Drosophila melanogaster: one gene and its partners. The protein of the gene in region 3 interacts with the protein of the main gene of each other region in a pairwise test. Each region holds a gene or a part of one and is shown on either strand. Other genes may lie near its edges.

What was found.
Region 1: the proteins of CG31373 (region 3) and TwdlJ interact in a two-hybrid assay, tested with the Drosophila melanogaster proteins (one large-scale study listed by BioGRID).
Region 2: the proteins of CG31373 (region 3) and Cpr47Ef interact in a two-hybrid assay, tested with the Drosophila melanogaster proteins (one large-scale study listed by BioGRID).
Region 4: the proteins of CG31373 (region 3) and MagR interact in a two-hybrid assay, tested with the Drosophila melanogaster proteins (one large-scale study listed by BioGRID).

The regions. Positions count from the first base shown.
Region 1 is NT_033777.3:26,628,318-26,631,360, reverse strand, and holds TwdlJ (TweedleJ), read right to left. Parts: upstream 1,444-3,043; 5' UTR 1,406-1,443; coding exon 581-1,405; 3' UTR 536-580; downstream 1-535. Other genes in the region: TwdlK (TweedleK), read left to right, coding at 2,654-3,043.
Region 2 is NT_033778.4:11,266,531-11,274,147, forward strand, and holds Cpr47Ef (cuticular protein 47Ef), read right to left. Parts: upstream 6,046-7,617; 5' UTR 5,862-6,045; coding exon 5,847-5,861; intron 3,741-5,846; coding exon 3,020-3,740; intron 2,956-3,019; coding exon 2,830-2,955; intron 2,751-2,829; coding exon 2,712-2,750; intron 2,624-2,711; coding exon 2,591-2,623; intron 2,536-2,590; coding exon 2,470-2,535; intron 2,378-2,469; coding exon 2,273-2,377; intron 2,211-2,272; coding exon 2,178-2,210; intron 2,123-2,177; coding exon 2,066-2,122; intron 2,010-2,065; coding exon 1,869-2,009; intron 1,812-1,868; coding exon 1,755-1,811; intron 1,699-1,754; coding exon 1,666-1,698; intron 1,606-1,665; coding exon 1,549-1,605; intron 1,490-1,548; coding exon 1,457-1,489; intron 1,334-1,456; coding exon 1,268-1,333; intron 1,183-1,267; coding exon 1,138-1,182; intron 772-1,137; coding exon 560-771; 3' UTR 385-559; downstream 1-384. Other genes in the region: Cpr47Ee (cuticular protein 47Ee), read left to right, coding at 1-240; TpnC47D (troponin C at 47D), read right to left, coding at 7,584-7,612.
Region 3 is NT_033777.3:10,707,932-10,711,116, reverse strand, and holds CG31373 (uncharacterized protein), read left to right. Parts: upstream 1-1,752; 5' UTR 1,753-1,782; coding exon 1,783-2,061; intron 2,062-2,218; coding exon 2,219-2,530; 3' UTR 2,531-2,630; downstream 2,631-3,185. Other genes in the region: CG14689 (uncharacterized protein), read left to right, coding at 1-1,441; CG31278 (uncharacterized protein), read left to right, coding at 2,855-3,185.
Region 4 is NC_004354.4:15,732,387-15,736,323, reverse strand, and holds MagR (magnetic receptor), read right to left. Parts: upstream 2,055-3,937; 5' UTR 1,956-2,054; coding exon 1,872-1,955; intron 1,772-1,871; coding exon 1,718-1,771; intron 1,226-1,717; coding exon 1,150-1,225; intron 1,081-1,149; coding exon 1,003-1,080; intron 936-1,002; coding exon 832-935; 3' UTR 544-831; downstream 1-543. Other genes in the region: Arp6 (Actin-related protein 6), read left to right, coding at 1-487; CG12379 (uncharacterized protein), read left to right, coding at 2,401-2,613, 2,771-3,082; CG8191 (uncharacterized protein), read right to left, coding at 3,096-3,937. UniProt on the Drosophila melanogaster protein: Involved in the assembly of mitochondrial iron-sulfur proteins. Probably involved in the binding of an intermediate of Fe/S cluster assembly. Required for maintenance of circadian rhythms under constant darkness.

The DNA of each region.
Region 1 (3,043 bases), about 16 Mb from region 3:
GATGTCTCGTGCAATTTGTCAAACCGAGTGCCATCTCAATTTCGAACCGCGAAGTGCGTAGGTAGGCATGGGCAGCCAAGTAGCCGATAAGCCATATGTTATACACCAGATTATACAGATTAACACGAAGCAGATTATTCAAAGCGATGCCAGAGAAAACATCTTAGGTTTCCGCTCATTTGCAATTTTCACAAACAGCTTAGCCGGACGGACTCATAATTCAACGCAAGTCGAACTTGTTTGCCAGCCGCCGAGTGCGAAAATGTTGTGCCTCGGAAATTTAATTCTGGCTGATAATATGCCTAGGAATGTTGGCCGCGAAGATCCGCAAGCCAACCTAATAATTTACATTTTAAAACAATTTTATTAGGTCTTCAAATCTAAACAATAGCACAAGAATGTCGGGAATTTCAGGAGCATCCAGACTATCTTATTACGTATTTTTAATCCTCAAAATAGCTGATTATACCATTTATATCAATAGCTCTCAAAAAGAGTAACAACAACTTAAAAATTTATATTATTAAACAAATTTATTTCGTATTATAATCTCAACAATAACAAAGGAAATGCCAGGAACTTAGAAACGCAGGCGGCGCAGGATGTTGGCGGGCAAGTAGGAGCTACCTGGGGTGGCAGGTGGCACATACGAGGAGATGGGTGCAGTAGCCTCGGGCTGGGAGGCGGGCAGGAACTGGGCGGGCGCTTGGCTGCTGGCAGCCTGAACAGGAGCGGGCTGGGAAGCGAAGTTCAGGGTGGATGCCACTCCACCATCTTGAGCTTGCGAAGATCCTCCCAACTGATCGTACTGACCCTGAATTGCACTCTGGGCGTTGGCAGCATCCTCGGGAGTGCGGTACTTGACGAAGTGCACCTCGGGCTTGTTGTTGTTGTTGTTGCGGATGGAGTTCAGCTTGTTGGCCAGATCTCCAATGTCAGCCTGCTTGTTCAGGACATAGATGGCGGTCTCCTGCTGGGCAGCCTGCTTGGCCAGAGCCAGAGCGGCATCCTCCAGACCGCGGTTCTCGGGTCCCTTGATGAAGACCACGCGGAGTCCCTTGTTCACGGCGTTGGCAACACGGTCGGAGGCAGCTGGGTCGTAGAAGTCACCCTCGTCGGCGGTGTAAGTGAAGAACTCCTTTTCGAGTTGGGCCTGAGGAGCAGCGTAGTTGGGGGCAGCAGCGGATTGAGATCCTTCCAGGGCATCAGCAATGGATGAGGGACCGGGGCCAAAGGATTCACTGGGTGCAGGCGCGAAAGCGGGTGCATCGCTACTGGCCGATCCAGATGGCTGGAAGCTCAATCCGGAGGGAGAGTGGGCCACCGGTTGGTAATTGTAGCCGAGTTTATCGGCTCTGGCCAAAACGGCGAGGCACAGGCAAAGAACTACGGAGAACTGACGCATGTTGAGCGGGTGAGGTGGTTGTGGGATTTGATGATGGTGTGAGATGGTTCTTTCGCTTTTATGCAGATGAAAGCCACTGCTATGCAAAACGCTCTGCATAAAGCGGTCTAATTACGGTCTTAGCCAACTAGATCAGGCAGTACCGGTACCACCCCGCTAAAATATGCAAGCGAAGCGGGTGGCTGCATCATGAGGTCAACGTAGAAACTCAGAAGGAAGAGGTACGGGCCATGTATGAGCCGGAGCTGGCGCCATAAAATTCATATTAAATTCAATATGCTGCCTTAATCAATAATTCGCGTATTCTTCGGCGCCGCTTTTGGCCAGTGTTGTGGGCCAACCTTGCCATTTTGGTATTTTCATGTAGCTTTATCGTTGAAATCAATAAAATCTGGCTATAAAAAGCCGCGGACAGAGCATCAAGAGCATCGTAAACCTCATTTGGGGCTATTTAGATGGATGCCTTGTTACTCATGTATCACATGTGTATCACAAATCCAAACCCATTCCCAGTTCGCCCGGGATGAGAAGTGTCACCTAAATCGGCCGGAGAGCAAACAAAACGTTTGACAGGCCGTTTCACATGCAAATGAGGCGCGCCTAGTCGCGTTACCGCTGCCAAAAATAAATATTTTAACGATTCGCCAAATTATTATTGCCTTATTCAGCGGCTTTGTCTTGTCGTCTTGGTCGCTGTGTTTAGCTGCTTTATGCTAATGTTGCGGGTGGAGGCGACCTTCCATCCGCCGGAAGTGAAGAATCGAACTCATCGCTAAATATAGCAGCCATCTTTACTTAATATATATACATGGTTTCTGATCGCCTAGGCCGGTTGCCAATTAAAAACTGCACCACTGCGCCTTGTCAGCGCCAAATCAGATAATTCGATAATTGGTCTCTTAATAAATTACTTGGCGCCATCTGATTTGGCAATCCGAGTCGGACTATGAACCTCCTCACTGGCCAATTCTGGTTAGCTCATAATTTGCATGCCGCTTTCCGCAGAGCCAGTAAAAACAAAGCCATGCAAAAATTTGCAACCGCAGCAGCAGTGTGACGAATCATAAAATTATATTATAAATTTAACATTTTAATCTCTTATTTATGCATTTTTAAGGCAAATTTGAGCTGTTCATAATTCATATCGCACCATACTGCAGCCGAAGAACTGAATATTGCACCTATAAAAGCCAAAATTTCGACTCGATAAGTCAGTAACCAATCATCTTTGCCATCCAAACAGTCAACATGCGTTCCTTCGTCGTCCTTTGCTTTATTGCCTTGGCCACGGCCGATAAACTTGGCTACAATTACCAACCGGTGGCCCACTCTCCCTCCGGATTGAGCTTCCAGCCATCTGGATCGGCCAGCAGCGATGCACCCGCTTTCGCGCCTGCTCCTAGTGCATCCTTTGCCCCCGGTCCCTCATCCATTGCTGATGCCCTGGAAGGATCTCAATCTGCTGCTGCTCCCAACTACGCTGCTCCTCAGGCCCAACTCGAGAAGGAATTCTTCACTTACACCGCCGACGAGGGTGACTTCTACGACCCATCTGCTTCCGACCGTGTTGCCAACGCCGTGAACAAGGGACTCCGCGTGGTCTTCATCAAGGGACCCGAGAACAGCGGTCTGGAGGAT
Region 2 (7,617 bases), on a different chromosome or scaffold from region 3:
CAATCGTTTGGCAGCAATCTTACTGCACAACAGGCACAACAGCAGCAGAATCTCAACCAGCAACAGCAGCAGCAGCAGCAACAACAGCAGCAGCAGCAACAGCAGCAGAAGGAGCAGCAAAACGAGCAGCAGCAACAGGCCCTAATCACCCAACAACTGAGGGGCAGACCGAACAACCTGGTGGATCCATATGGCTATAATCAGTACGGCAGACGCTTCAAGAAGTCCCCAAAGAAATAACGACAAATTAATGTCATTTAAATGATTGATTAGTTTGAAGATGTAGTCGCAACTCAAAGGCATGAAATACATGCATCTGAAAAGTCAAGCAGTTTGTTTCAATTTCCGCAGCTTACGCGGCGCAAAATGATAAGCAAATATTTTATAATAATCATTTATTTCGATAGTTGCACACACACATTGTCAGAGTGGAAGAGGGAGGTAAGCTTATATAAATAAATTAATTGTTTTAGCGAAAGAACATTGAGGGCAGCCTGCACGGAAATGACGTTTCTTCGATTTGAGAGATTTGATTGGCGTTTTGGAATAAATTCTGATTTTAGTAGCTATAGCCCGTCTGAGGATTGAACTCTCCGTTTCCACGACCTCCGCCCGGCGCTCCCGGAGCAGGTGGAATGTACTGTGATCCTGTGCCGGGAACTCCTCCCGATCCTGGTCTGCCTGGCGAGCCGGGTGCTCCGCCACCAGCCGCTGGTGGAACATACTGATTGCCGGGCAATCCTGGTCCGCCTGGACGTCCACCGGCGCCTCCTAGATAAAAAATGGAAACAATCGCGATTAGAGTGGCATTAAATTTATGTAAACCCTCTTTGATTAGTTGTAATTATTTAAAGCAGTCTTTAAAATTATTATAATCTAGCGACTTCAAAGAGACCGCGTGCAAGCCGAAATGTTTTATGCATGAAAGATCGTTAGTCGATCGTGGGTAAAACAATAGACCAAGGCTTTGCCAAACAAGAATTGTCAAAATAAAAAAACTGAAATGTGTGGGAATAGCACTTGTCTAGTGTAGCTCTTCACATCATTTTCTCATGAAGATGAATGAGGCTAATTCAAGTTTTACAATTGCAATCACACAGATTGTAAAACCGGGTTTATAACTATAATGCTTCTTACCCGGTCCACCGGCACCTCCTCCATAACCTGGACCGCCTGGAGATCCTACATTAAAAAATGTAAATACCATCTATATGTTGTGACAAATTGGGAGAGTGACCTCTTCATCACAAAAACCAATGTTACTCACCGGGTCCACCGGGTGCTCCTCCAGCTCCACCGCGACCACCGCCGGCGCCAAAGCCACCACCACCTCCTAAAAAATAAATATTACTTTAATTATTATAATATTTATAACACAGTTTAACAAGTAGTCGGAAACTTGAAGAATTTCGTAAGTTTTGTGGAATGCACAGTGTACTGTTACTAAGTTACTAACCTTGGCCTCCGAATCCTCCTCCTCCGGGAGAGCCTGCGAAACACGAATGGTATGTTTTTAAAGCCACTAGGCAGATATTAAAATCGACTTACCAGGAGCTCCAGGAGCACCACCACGACCGGCGCCGCCTCCGTATCCGCCACCCCCACCTACAAGATGAAGATGTTTTACTTAAGACCTGCAACTGGAATATTGTTTTGCTAACTAACCTTGACCGCCAAATCCTCCTCCACCAGGCGATCCTATTAATTAATAATTCCTTATTTTCAGTAACAAACAATTTATGTTTTGTACTCACCTGGAGCTCCTGGGGCACCTCCACGACCACCACCTCCTCCGAATCCGCCACCACCTCCTACAAGATGAATGTATTATTCGAGGTGAATGTGCAGTAAGTTTTAAAATCCCTTACCTTGACCTCCGAATCCGCCACCACCTGGGGATCCTGGTGCTCCTGGCGCACCTGGTGCTCCACCACCACCGCGACCGCCGCCGCCTCCATAGCCGCCGCCAGCACCTCCCTGGCCACCATATCCGCCTCCGCCTGGTGATCCTGAAAATAAGCAATGTGTTATCTATTATATAAAGTGAATGAAATCATGAACTCACCGGGAGCGCCAGGAGCACCGCCGCGTCCGCCGCCACCTCCGAATCCTCCGCCTCCACCTGGAAAGTGTATATAGTTTTAACTTGAACCGCAAAGTCAGGCGGGATCACTTACCTTGACCTCCGAAACCTCCACCGCCAGGTGATCCTTTAGTTGAAGTAAGTTATTAGTTTTGAGTATCTATGGAGTAACACTTTTCGTTAACTTACCGGGAGCTCCTGGTGCTCCGCCACCGCCGCGTCCTCCGCCGCCGCCACCACCATAACCGCCGCCAGCACCTCCTTGACCACCAAATCCGCCGCCGCCAGGTGATCCTGAAATATATGAAAATAAATATAAATTCATGAAGTGAATTAAGACGGATTTTCTTTAGGAACAATAAATTTCATCTAGAAAAAGGACTTACCAGGACCTCCTGGGGAACCACCACGACCAGCTCCGCCACCAGCTCCTCCATAGCCTCCTCCACCTCCTAAAAAATAAATAGTATTTTAGATCCATGTGTAAGCCGTTGGAACATAACTTACCTTGACCTCCGAATCCGCCTCCACCTGGCGCACCTAAAGAAGCAAACGAATCGATAAAGTATTAAATTAATCTAATAGGGGTTAACATTTTTAAAAATTGTATAAATAAATCAGTCGTTACCTGGACCTCCTGGTGCTCCTCCACGACCACTGCCGCCTCCTAAAAATAATCAAAGTTAAAGTCAAAAAAGACTAAAAAAAGAAAAAGGGTCAAAATGTGACTTGAATTCGTATCTTACCTGATCCATATCCACCGCCACCTCCTGCTCCACCTCCGCCTCCACCGGATCCTCCTCCTGCGCCGCCGCCTCCAAATCCGGATCCGCCTCCATATCCCGAACCACCGCCTCCGCCGCCACCTGCTCCTGCAATCAAAAGTGAGCAATGAAATGGAATGTTAATCCATTGATTTATTTTGTAGAAACTTACCCTGTCCTCCAGGACCGCCACTGTATCCACCACCCGGCAGTATGGAGATGCCCTGGGCAGCCAGAGATTTGGCTATCGCTTCCGGAATGGGCGGTGGAGTGGGCAGGGCGTTGCCCGAGGGCACAAAGCCATTCTCATCCGCCGTGTACATGATCTCGACGAGTTCACCTTCGGGATTTGTGTAGGAGTATGAGCCCATCACGGATGGGATTTCATTCTCAGATCCCTTGTTCTTAACGGTGCCCTCCTCCTGGGCCTTTATACCATTTCCAGTCTCGTAGCTGAAACGGTAGTTGCCATCGCCGTCGTTCTCGTTGACAAATGAGAGGATCGGAATGGGAGGTCCAGAAGTTGGTGGCGCGCCACCTGACGGACTGGGGCGTGGAGCGGGTGCTCCGCCGCCTCCGCCGCCGCCGCCAGGTGCAATGGGTCTTCCGTTTGCGAAGCCACCAAGTCCGTTATTACCACCACCAAAGCCACCAGCACCGCCACCGCCTGGTCCTCCACCGAAGCCGCCAGCTGGTCCGCCACCGCCGCCTCCTCCATAACCTCCACCCGCTCCGCCGCCACCGAATCCTCCACCTCCGCCGAAGCCACCTCCTGGGCCCTGAAGCCCTGCTCCCGGACTGCCGCCCGCACTGGCCGCACTTGCAGGTGGGGGCAGGTATTTGTTATCCAGCTTGGCTGCTTGGGCAACCACCAGCGTCGTGATCACCAGAGCCTGAAAAAGATCGTTGCAGGTAGGGATTGCCCGGTAAGTTCACAAATTTATGCAAGCACATGGAAAGTTCATGCGAATCCAGCATCTTCCATCGCGATCCACGTTCTCAATTTGGCCTGAAGCGAATCTTTGGCGTGTTGACTTATTTGATTGCAAAATAAATGCCAGTGAAAAATCGCAGGGGTGGCTAATTGTTTAAAATTTAACTTCATTAACTGCGGCTAATTCATAAATCTGAAGATAACATGAAAAAAGGCTGCTAAATGTAATGAAATAGTCATTTAACGACCGCCATAAAAAGTGTTATTCGAATAAACTTTTGTTGCTTGAGCACAAGGACGTATTTAAACTTAAAATAATGTTAAGCGTCTGAAAATTATTATTTTCGAATTATTCGTATTAAGAAATACTTTTAAACGATTTTTAATGTCTTACTAACATTATGTCATTTTTTACAACTGTACTTTACTCATGATAGCATTTTGGTAATTATTTGTAATAAATGTGTATTTTAAGTTAAACAGCAATGGTTCGTTCCAAAAATAAACGATAAGCTTTTTCCAAACTTCAAATTACAAGAAGAACCTTGAATTGTTTCTGCTGTTAATTAAGCCCTGATACACATCTCGGCCAAGTGGGTATCATGACCCCGCCGCTGGGAACCTCCAAAGGGGTCAAGAGTGTGGCCAAATGTCGGCCATTTCATCAATGAAGCATTTGTCCATTGACAGAACGACGCAATCCGATCCGCTCACGTTTTCCATTGTTGCAACCGATCGTCGTCGCCCATTAAGGCTGCAAGTGCAGCGGGGACTCTTGACTATAGTATCAACATCGGGCTGGCTCATCATTGTCTCAGCCTGAGGCGAACTATGATATTTATGGACTTCTTGTTAGACAGAAGACGTCTGAAGATGCAGCAGCGTGTGAACCGAGAGTGCCACAGAGAATTGCTGGCTGGGAAGGTTGGCTAAGCGGAGCGGACCAGCGAGTGTCAAGTTGAAGTTTAAACCGTTTACGAATTCCATTGGGCCATAAACCTAACAGCTCCATCGATTGGCACGATGATGAGCTCACTTGTCGCCACAGCCGGGCAGTGTAATAATGTAATATTGTGGAAATTCTGACATTTGCCACACTGACTCATCCGGCGACTGTGGCACATGCAACCGAAACAAGCAACGCCTGCCCCTTGGGCCGGAATATCTTGAGGAGTCTGTGAGAGCCTCTTGGAGTTCGTGACCACCTAGCAGACATCTTCGACAGCGTTTCGCAACCGCAAATATAATTGCGGTTATTGCAAATGGGCTGCCAATTGGGTCGCCACTGCTTCCATTTCGATGATCTGCTTTGGAGGCGGGGCGGATCGGCCACGACCAAACCATCTTGGGCAACTTTGCGTGCCATCCACCATCTCCGATTGCAAATGGGCTGTTAATTTATGCGTTTCACGGGGATTACTCGATCTTTTCAAGACAATCGGATATGCTAAGTGCAATGGGGAAACCCTTGGCTGTGCTAAAATATCCAAGATGGGACACTCCAGTGGCCTATTGTTTAGGCATGTTCTTTTTCGCGGAATTTTATGAGTTGCCAAGTTGAGATTAAATAATTAACTAAATCAAAGTTTCCTGAAAAGTTATAAACTCTTGATGAATAAGAATATTCCTATGCCAATTTAATACAGATTTCTGATGAGACAATTCCCTAGACTAAAATAATTGAATGTCTTTATTCTAAGGTAAAATTCGTAACTTTACTTTCATTTAAATTAAATTGGGTAATGAAATCAATTTAATTAAATTTGAAGCATTAAGATCTTTGCATTCGAATGTAAAATGTAAAAATGTAATGAATGTAAAAAATCCGAAAAGAATAAAAACGGAAAATATGAATATAAATATGAATATTATATTCAAACATTGAAATATATTTTTGAATCTAGGTCATTATCTCAAGAAGGATACTTTTCGGGAAAAATTAGTAAAGCTCTACAATAATTTCTAACCACAACAGCATATGGAGTTTCAAAGGACTCTTCATTAGAACACTTGGATCTTTTGAATTTTCTAACCCAAAGTTACTTTCCTCTTTCACTGAACTTACCCACTTAAGAGCCATGACAGCAATCTTTTGATTGTTTCGATCGAGGATTAAGAAGAAGAATCCTTGGCGCACCCACAATTTATCCACTGCTTAATTTATCCACAAAGCTGGGTTAATCCACGTAAGTCCTTTGCCGCACCAGCGATGCAGTGCCTCCGCGTGTCGTGTTGTGGCTCCTCGAATGTCACGGTACTTGTGTGCCGATCGCAGCCCAAGTTCTCCAGCTTTTATACTTGGTTTGGCGCCAAATGCAATCAAATGGAATGGAATGAACGAAAACTGCAGCCGGAGCTTGCCGCTTGCAGCTTGGAGCTCGGTGCTGAGCGAGTGCTGAGATTTTGATACTTTATGGCATTTATTGCAATCGTGTGCAGCTGTGGTGGTGATGGTGGTGGTGCTAGCTGAGGCTCCGTCCCCAGCTGGGGCAGAAAACAATCGCACGAAAAAGGGAGGAGGAGGTGGTGGTGCCCCCGCATCCTCATCCGCAAGCCCATGCATTTTGACTATTGTCTCAACGGCGGCATCTCGTTTACTCAATGTACCTTGTCTTGTTAAACAAACGCTCTCAGCCACATCTCTCCTCGGTTAGTGGGTAAAAATTAGCAAGCAAGCAACTGCTGCTGGTGGTGCTCGTAAATTGGAATCCAATCGAAACGCTCAACGCTCGAGCGCATCATCATCATTCAGCTTCATCTCCATTGAATTGCACGTTTGGGAAACCGTTTTAATGCGCTCGGTGTCAAGAATCGCATATTGAGAAGTCTGCCCAGGCGGATGTCAATAAATCTGACACCCAACACAATCCGCCACATTTTCAGCTCTTTCACAGGGCGTCCAGGTCCAGTCTGTGACCTTTCACCTAATGATTGGGTAAAAACTGAAAACTGGATTCGAAGCGGTAATAAATACCACTAATATCGACACCCTCCGGCCGAAAGACTAAGCATTGCGCAAAACAAGTTGCTCCACTTGGTGGCAACATCCAAACCCCAACCCATCCACATCGATCTGCCCCAAGCCCCTTCTCCTTTTTTTTCGCTAACTTTTCAGAAAGGGCAGTTGCTTCTTTTCGCTGAATTTGGGAAAACAAACTCACTGCATGTCGCGGCGGCCAAGTTTAGCGTAAATGCTTGACATCTTTTGGCAACAAGGAGAATGCTCATTGACATTTGCCAGCCTGCATGCATAGCTATGATATACTACATTGGCTGTTTGGAAAGGCAAAAATCTAGCAGGTTGTCAGTGGGCCTTATTCTGCTTGGGATGGTCACAGCTGTGCGGACCAGAACGCCAGTCAAGTGGCAAACGGAATGTGCACGCACTGCCGCAAGTAATAGCGGAAAGATTGAAACAAAGAACTCCGCATGCATCTGGCCACGTTGCGTATGCGCAACATGCATCACTCATACGCCGAATGGCCTTGCCAAATTAACACACAAATGAGCAGAGCGGCCACGCCCACTCCCAGCCCATTGCACAAACATTGAAATTTAATAATAATCCGCACGCCAGAGGGTGGCAATTGGCAATTAAGATGACTCAACTCGGATGCAGATGCACTGCAGCCATAGAATGTTTGCCGCGCTTTGGGTTTTTCTACTCAATCGGTTCCTGAACGAGCGGATTATTTATAGCGTAATTATGATTACTCAATCGTAGAAATAAAATACAAAACGTTTATTCAAGCCTCGGGTGTTGGGGGGTAGACAATTATGAGATACGTTGGGTCCACAATGCTTACTCGCCAGTCATCATCTCCATGAATTCTGGA
Region 3 (3,185 bases):
CTACACACCGAAGTACTATAGTGGCAAGTGGTCCTGGAGCGCCGAAAAGGATTGCCTGGAATTCGAGCCGCACAACGATCTGGAGAATGCCAGGGAGCGCTACATCACCACCAATGGCTATAAGTTCCTGCGCATCATCGACCAGGAGGAGGAGCTTATCTTCCGGCAGGCTTACGTGCGGGATACGGGCACCTATGACTTTGACACCTTGGTGATCAACGACATCCGTGACCTGGTCCTCTTCCTGATGCCCAGCGATTTTCTGACCTACCGGTTCGTGGAGTTCATGCACCGCCCGGCGGTTCACCGTCTGATCCATGCGCTCATCATTTATTTCGAATACTTTCTGCGTATGGTGGAGTTTGTGCTGGTGCGGCGCGACGAATTGGCCGATCAGATCCAGAGCGATCAGACCATCGATATGAAGAAGACATTCTCGATCTATCTCAGTCAGTATCGCCTCCTGGTGGCCCGCAACTACAGTGTGATTCTGAAGGGAGAGGGCGATATGGCCAAATACTACCATATGAAGGAGATTATCAATATTTCGGATACCAGTCGCGACCGCGTCTTCCACGAGCAGTTTCTGGCCGTGATGACCCAGATTGTTTGGATCTGCATGCATCGCCGTGCGTACAATGTCATTGAGATGGAAATGAACCGTCTGTTTCGTTCCGATCACTTTGTTATGGCACGTCCGGAGTATCTGAGCTTTACGCCGGCGGAGCGCAGTTTACTGTACGGTCGGAACCATAAAATCGTTAACTATCGCACCCAGATATCGCCGCTCGTCCAGGAGTTGGAGCACGTGGCGGAGGAGGACATGCCCATCCTGTGGATTGGCGAGCGAAAGTACCGAGGCAACGACAAGCGCATTGCCGAGATGGAGCTGGAGTACATTGTGCCGGGACCACAGCTGCGTATGATCGATGTGGCACACGGCATACTGGGACATCCGAAGGATCTGTACAACACCATCCTAGACCTGGACTGGCCCACAGTTCGCTACTCAAACTTTTCGCTTGGCTACGATCCGTACCACATCATTCGCCAGCCGCACTTGGACATTCCCAAGATCGACGCCTTGAAAGCGCGCAAGATGAATGAAAACTACGAGCATTTCTACAAGGTGTATCGCATCTACGAGCCGCACAGCGTGCAGATCCTGCAGAAGTGGCTCAAGCGGGACAAGCTCGTCCAGTTCTATCGCTCCGGGGGACTGCTGCTCACCAACGTGGTATCCCGGTGCGAGAAGGAACTGGCCGAAAAGGTACCGGTAACCAAGGTCGACCAGGTCATATCCAATTACTTTAAGGTGAAGTCCAGGCTGCGCAAGGGATCTCCATATGAACCGGACAACGTTAGCATCACCTCCTCGCGGATCGGGGGCTTCAATTCGCCGCGCCAAAAGAAAACGCCACAGGAATACTATTTCGATTGATTTGAGGTCGTACACATCCATTAGGTTTTCAAGAGACTTCAAATACTTCAAAATTATTTATTCGTGAATAAAATACTTATAAATCTTGAAAGCTTGGCAATATTGTTGTTACTAATATTGTAGGATATTACTAGTATTTTTAAAAAATTGTATTGGATTTTTAAGGTATATATTTCCGCTTTAAAATGCGAACCGTAGACTTATCGTTCCCAGTGTTTCAAATGGCAGATCAGCTGATCCCCAGATAAGGCTATCGTATCAAAATCTGTCCACCTCGACAGCTCTGTGCAGTAGTTGCTCGATAGACACGGTTCAGTAGAGATCTTCTTCCGACCAGAATCATGTCCGCTCCGCCATATCGTCATTTTACCCAAATTGGGGATCCTGTTCTGCGCCAAAGGGCAGAAGAGGTGCCGCCCGAGGACATCGATAGTAGGGAGATCAACCAGATTATTGACGGCATGGTAAAGGTGTTACGTCACTACGATTGCGTGGGCGTGGCTGCGCCCCAAGTTGGAATACCGCTGCGTATTATCGTTATGGAATTCCGAGAGGGAAAGCAAGAGCAATTCAAGCCGGAAATCTACGAGGAGCGTAAGATGTCCATACTGCCCTTGGCCGTAAGTAAAGCTTTTCTTTTCGCGTTCGAAAAATATATGTAAATCTATGCAGTTTTATAAACGTATGAATTTGAGAAACTAAATTTCTGCATACAAAAATATTGCTTATGTGCAGCAACAATCCCGTGATTTCTCATCATAAATCATTTGCTTGCAGGTCTTCATTAATCCGGAGCTGGAGATAATCAGCAGCCAAGTAAACAAGCATCCCGAAGGTTGCATGAGTGTGCGAGGCTATTCCGCTGAGGTGGAACGGTACGATAAGGTCCGGATCCGGGGGATCGGCAAGCTGGGCACTCCGTCGGAAATGGAACTGGAGGGCTGGAACGCACGGATCGCCCAGCACGAGGTGGATCACCTTAATGGAACTATCTACATGGATAGGATGGATCTCTCCACCTTCAACTGCATCCTCTGGGAGCAAATCAACGCAGCTGAAGGTCGATCCGCCATTTGGTTTCACAAGTAATAACTTGGTTGCATTTAATTCAAGGAGCTTTTCACTTTTTTATGGCGCTTTATACAACATATTTGTATATTGTTTGAAAATAAAATACACTTCTGAAATGAATGCGCTGTTTACGAAATAAACTTTGTGTGCGGGGAAAAAGTATTTTATGCACCTAGCATATATTTAAAAGCGCGCCAAATATCAAATCTATTTCCACCGATATATCGATAGGTACATACTTTCACATCCCTAGCCGGTCAGCTGGCCAGTATGACCGTGTTGTGTAACTATATTCCCTACGATTTTGATCGGAATATTAAAGGAGGCTAAACATTTCACAAAATGCACCTGAAACCACGGATAAAAGTATGCCAAGCGATTCTGGGACATTGTCGATCCTTTGGAACGAGTCCTCCCGCTAATCAGTCGTTCAGGAAGTGGTACCAGCACCTGTGGACCACGGAGCGCACAAACTTGCCGCCATACAACCATTTCACCCAGATTGGTGACCCTGTTCTTAGGCAACAAGCGGCTTTGGTGCCCAAGGAGCACATGGCTAGCCCCGAGATTAAGGCCATCGTCGAGCGGATGGTCAAGGTGCTAAGGAAGTTCGACTGCGTCGGCATTGCGGCTCCTCAGATTGGAGTATCGCTCAGGATCATAGCAATGGAGT
Region 4 (3,937 bases), on a different chromosome or scaffold from region 3:
ACGCGAAGTCACAGTTGATTATGTCCTTCCAGACTTCACCACCGTCAAACGGGGCTATGTTCGTGTTCCCGGAAAGCCGCGCGAGGATGAGGAGCAACAGCAAATGGTGTCGCTGTGCAATGAACGTTTCACCGTGCCCGAGCTGCTCTTCAATCCCTCGGACATTGGTGTGCAACAGGTGGGCATTCCGGAAGCGGTGGCCGATTGTCTGAAGGCTTGCCCCTGGGAAGCGCACCGCGAACTCCTGCTCAACATCCTTATTGTGGGCGGCAGTGCCCAGTTTCCGGGATTTCTGCCGCGCCTAAAGCGCGATTTACGTGCCCTGGTGCCCGACGATCTTGAAGTGTCACTCATCTGTCCCGAGGATCCGGTGCGGTACGCGTGGTACGGCGGCAAGGAGGTTGCGACCAGCCCCAACTTTGAAGAGTTTGTTTACACGCAAGACGACTACGAGGAGTACGGTTTCCAGGGTATCAATCAGCGGTAACATGCACGTAGTCGAAGTATTTTTTCAATAATAAACTTGATTTGCACATGGGTTTTCTAGAACATTCCTTGTCTATATATTGAACTAGGGCTAAAGAGGACAAACTGCCAGCCTGCGGCAAGGAAGCGGGTGCGTCACTTACCTAGCGCTACAACTAAAATTTAACTATAGAACACAACTTAATATTTAGAATTCGTTTGCGAAGTAAAATTTACAAAGGATGCGGTGCTTTTGCCAACAACGTAATGAGATACAAGGTCGGGCCGCGTACTGCATTTAACTTAGTTAATTTAGGTCTGTCTGCGAGGCGGGTGCCGGCGGATCTCCTCCGGATCTCCATCGGTTTACATGCTGAACGATTCGCCGCAGCCGCATGTGCCCTTAATGTTCGGATTGTTAAACACGAACTCGCTGGACAGCTTCGATTCCACAAAGTCCATCTCGGTACCTGCAAGCGAATTATACTCTGTATTAGCTGGCTTGTCCAATGCTATGCTAAGCTGGTATGAACTTACCCAGCAGCGACAACTGCGCTTTCTTGTCGATGAAGACCTTGACGCCATCCTGGACCACCTCCTCATCCAACTTGTCTGCTGGCAAAAATCGACACAGAACGCAGCATTAGATCTCCACCGAACAACATTCTGTCCAGAGTGGCTTACCTTTTTGGCTGGCATAGTCCAGCGTGTAGGACAGACCATTGCATCCTCGCTGCCGTACGCCCACCTTTAGGCCAACCTGTGGCAGAAACAACATCGAATTTCTGTCATTAACTGTGTGGCTAATTTATAGGCAGCCTTGTTTATTGACCAAAGACAAAGAACTCGGTATTCTAATAAGTCTGTCTCAATTCAAAGAATTTAATCACTTAAAAACTAAATGATTAACAACAAGATAAACATGCTCATCAAAATTTGGTCGGGTCAAAATTTGGAAAATCTAGCTGATTAACGCAGGCCGAATTAGTTAGCATGGCTTATATTTATAGCTAATAATTTGCGCTAAAATATATGACTGACTGAGGAAAAAGCCTATTGTCAAATATAATGCTTGAAGAAGCCCTCTTGCGAACTTCCTATACTCCATGCAACCAGTGCTAAAACTTAAATAACATGCACGGGAACCTTTAAAGAGCTAGGCGAGATTATCAAGATCTCAATCGTGGAAGGCGATAGAATGCCCACTAAAGTGTAGCCTTGGTTCGATGACAACTTGTCAGCAGTCACTCACCATGTCCGGCTTGTCCTGCAGAAGCGTCTTGATGCGTAGCACCGCCGCGGGTGTCTGAAAAGGATTGGGGGAGATCAGAATCATCAGATCGAAGGGGACTGTTACTTCATCAGCAGCAGCATGCGCCGATTTCACCAGGTTTTGGTTTCCTTACCAGAGTCAGAGCGGCCCGCGTCGGGATTAACTTCCGGCCTTTCACCGCCCGCACTGTCGCCGTTGCCACCACACGTGTCGCCATCGGTTCGTGCCCTTTATATAATTTGTTTGACTCGAGAATTTCCACAAAAAAAATTCGAAAATATGAGTGCTTACTACCAGATGGTCGATAGTACTGTCGATAGTATCACGTGAGATGGCATTAACAGATGTCATCGATTGGCAGTGTCACGGGATAGCGGAGAAACGGTTACTACCTGTTTGAAAAATAAGTTATTTTTAAGCCCCAGAGTCCAGGTGGACTTCATTAATAACTTAACTTAATATTTCACAGTAGAATTTATATTAACAATTGGTTTTAATGTCTGTGAGTTACAGCAAATTTTATCAGCACCAGTGACAGCTATAGTAACTTTTTAAAATCGTGACTCGCGACTAGTTTTGAAATGAAAGGAGGTGCCATCTCTAAGTTTAAATGAATTTCACACTTTTCGATTGAGTTAAATAATATCAACAAAATCGAGGATATGTCCGCCCTAAAAAAATTTTATAAAATCAGCGCAGGTGTGAGAAGAGGCGCACTACTTACCAGTTCCCGAAGAACACAAATTGATGCTTTAAATAGTCCACAATTGCAGTTGCAAGTGCATCACTTTGCAACCAAAACACAAACAGCTGTTTTTAGCAGCAGCAACAACTACACGTGCATTTGCCGCAGTATACACTGCAGTAAGCCAGTGGTATGTTTGGAAATCAGTTGTAAATACAAATAAACTACCCAATTGATATTAAATAATGTTATTTACATTTGTAATTTAAAATATTATAAATGGAATGCAATATTTAAAATTATGTATAACAAAAAAGTTAAGTATAATTATTTTGCTCTGCTCCCAGGACGATGCGGACAAGACGGTGGCCACGAATAGCATTCCTCTGGCGAAACTGGAGGCCAAGATGCAGCTGATCTACACCTGCAAGGTGTGCCAGACCCGGAACATGAAGACCATTTCGAAGCTGGCATACCAACGCGGCGTTGTTATCGTGACCTGCGAGGGCTGCTCCAATCACCACCTGATCGCCGACAATCTGAACTGGTTCACAGATCTGGACGGCAAGCGCAACATCGAGGAGATCCTGGCCGAGAAGGGCGAGAAGGTGGTTCGCCTGACCGATGGCAACTGCGAGTTTTTGCCGAAACATGATTAAACTCGTAGTGTAGTTAAGTGAAAACGAATGCCACTTTATTTAGCAGCTCCAGCAAATGTGTCCAGGAATTGGGGGGTAGTTGGGCACGCAGCTGCTGGGCGAACTGCCGGCGACATATGGATCCGGTGGCCAGCATCAGGTAGGTTATGTATGTGGCCTCGTTCACGGGCAGCTGCGAGACAGCCGTGACTGGTGCATCAGCGGTCAATTGCATCTCATCCAAGTCTAGGTAGGGCAGGTGGCGATTCCAATGGTCGATTAGGTAGGCAATAAGGCTGCCGGCCAGACGTACATGCTCCATACTGGCCCAGAATCTCATCTCATTGGCGGATTGCGATACGAACAGAAAGATATTGTGCAGGAAGCCGGTGCAAGCGGTAGATCCGCCCTCCGATAAAGTGTCACAGATCATGTGGCGCATTAGGTAGCAATCCTTGTGAATTTCGCTGTCCTTTGGCTCCCTAAAAAGCTGCAGCCACACCTGGTACTCAATCAGCTCCATGGAGCGCTTTATTGCGGTCTGCATGTCCTCAAGGCTGGATAAGCGGCCAATCCGCTTGACTAGCCGTCGCATCTGCTGAAGATCGGGATTGATAAAATCGCTGGAAGAAAGCGCATCCGATTGGCGTATTGCCGACCAGTCCAAATCACCGATCTCACTCCACGCAGGCTGAATCTCGGCCAACGTTCGATGCGAAAGATGAAGCAGTGGTGCATGAGTTTCTCCCTTTCGTGTGTTCACGATGGTGGTACACAGCTCACGAATACACTTCCGTCGATCCACCAATGCAGAGCAGCTAGCGAAGAAGCCACGGCAATCGCAGCGTTCGGCCAGCGATTGCCCGAAGCGATCAT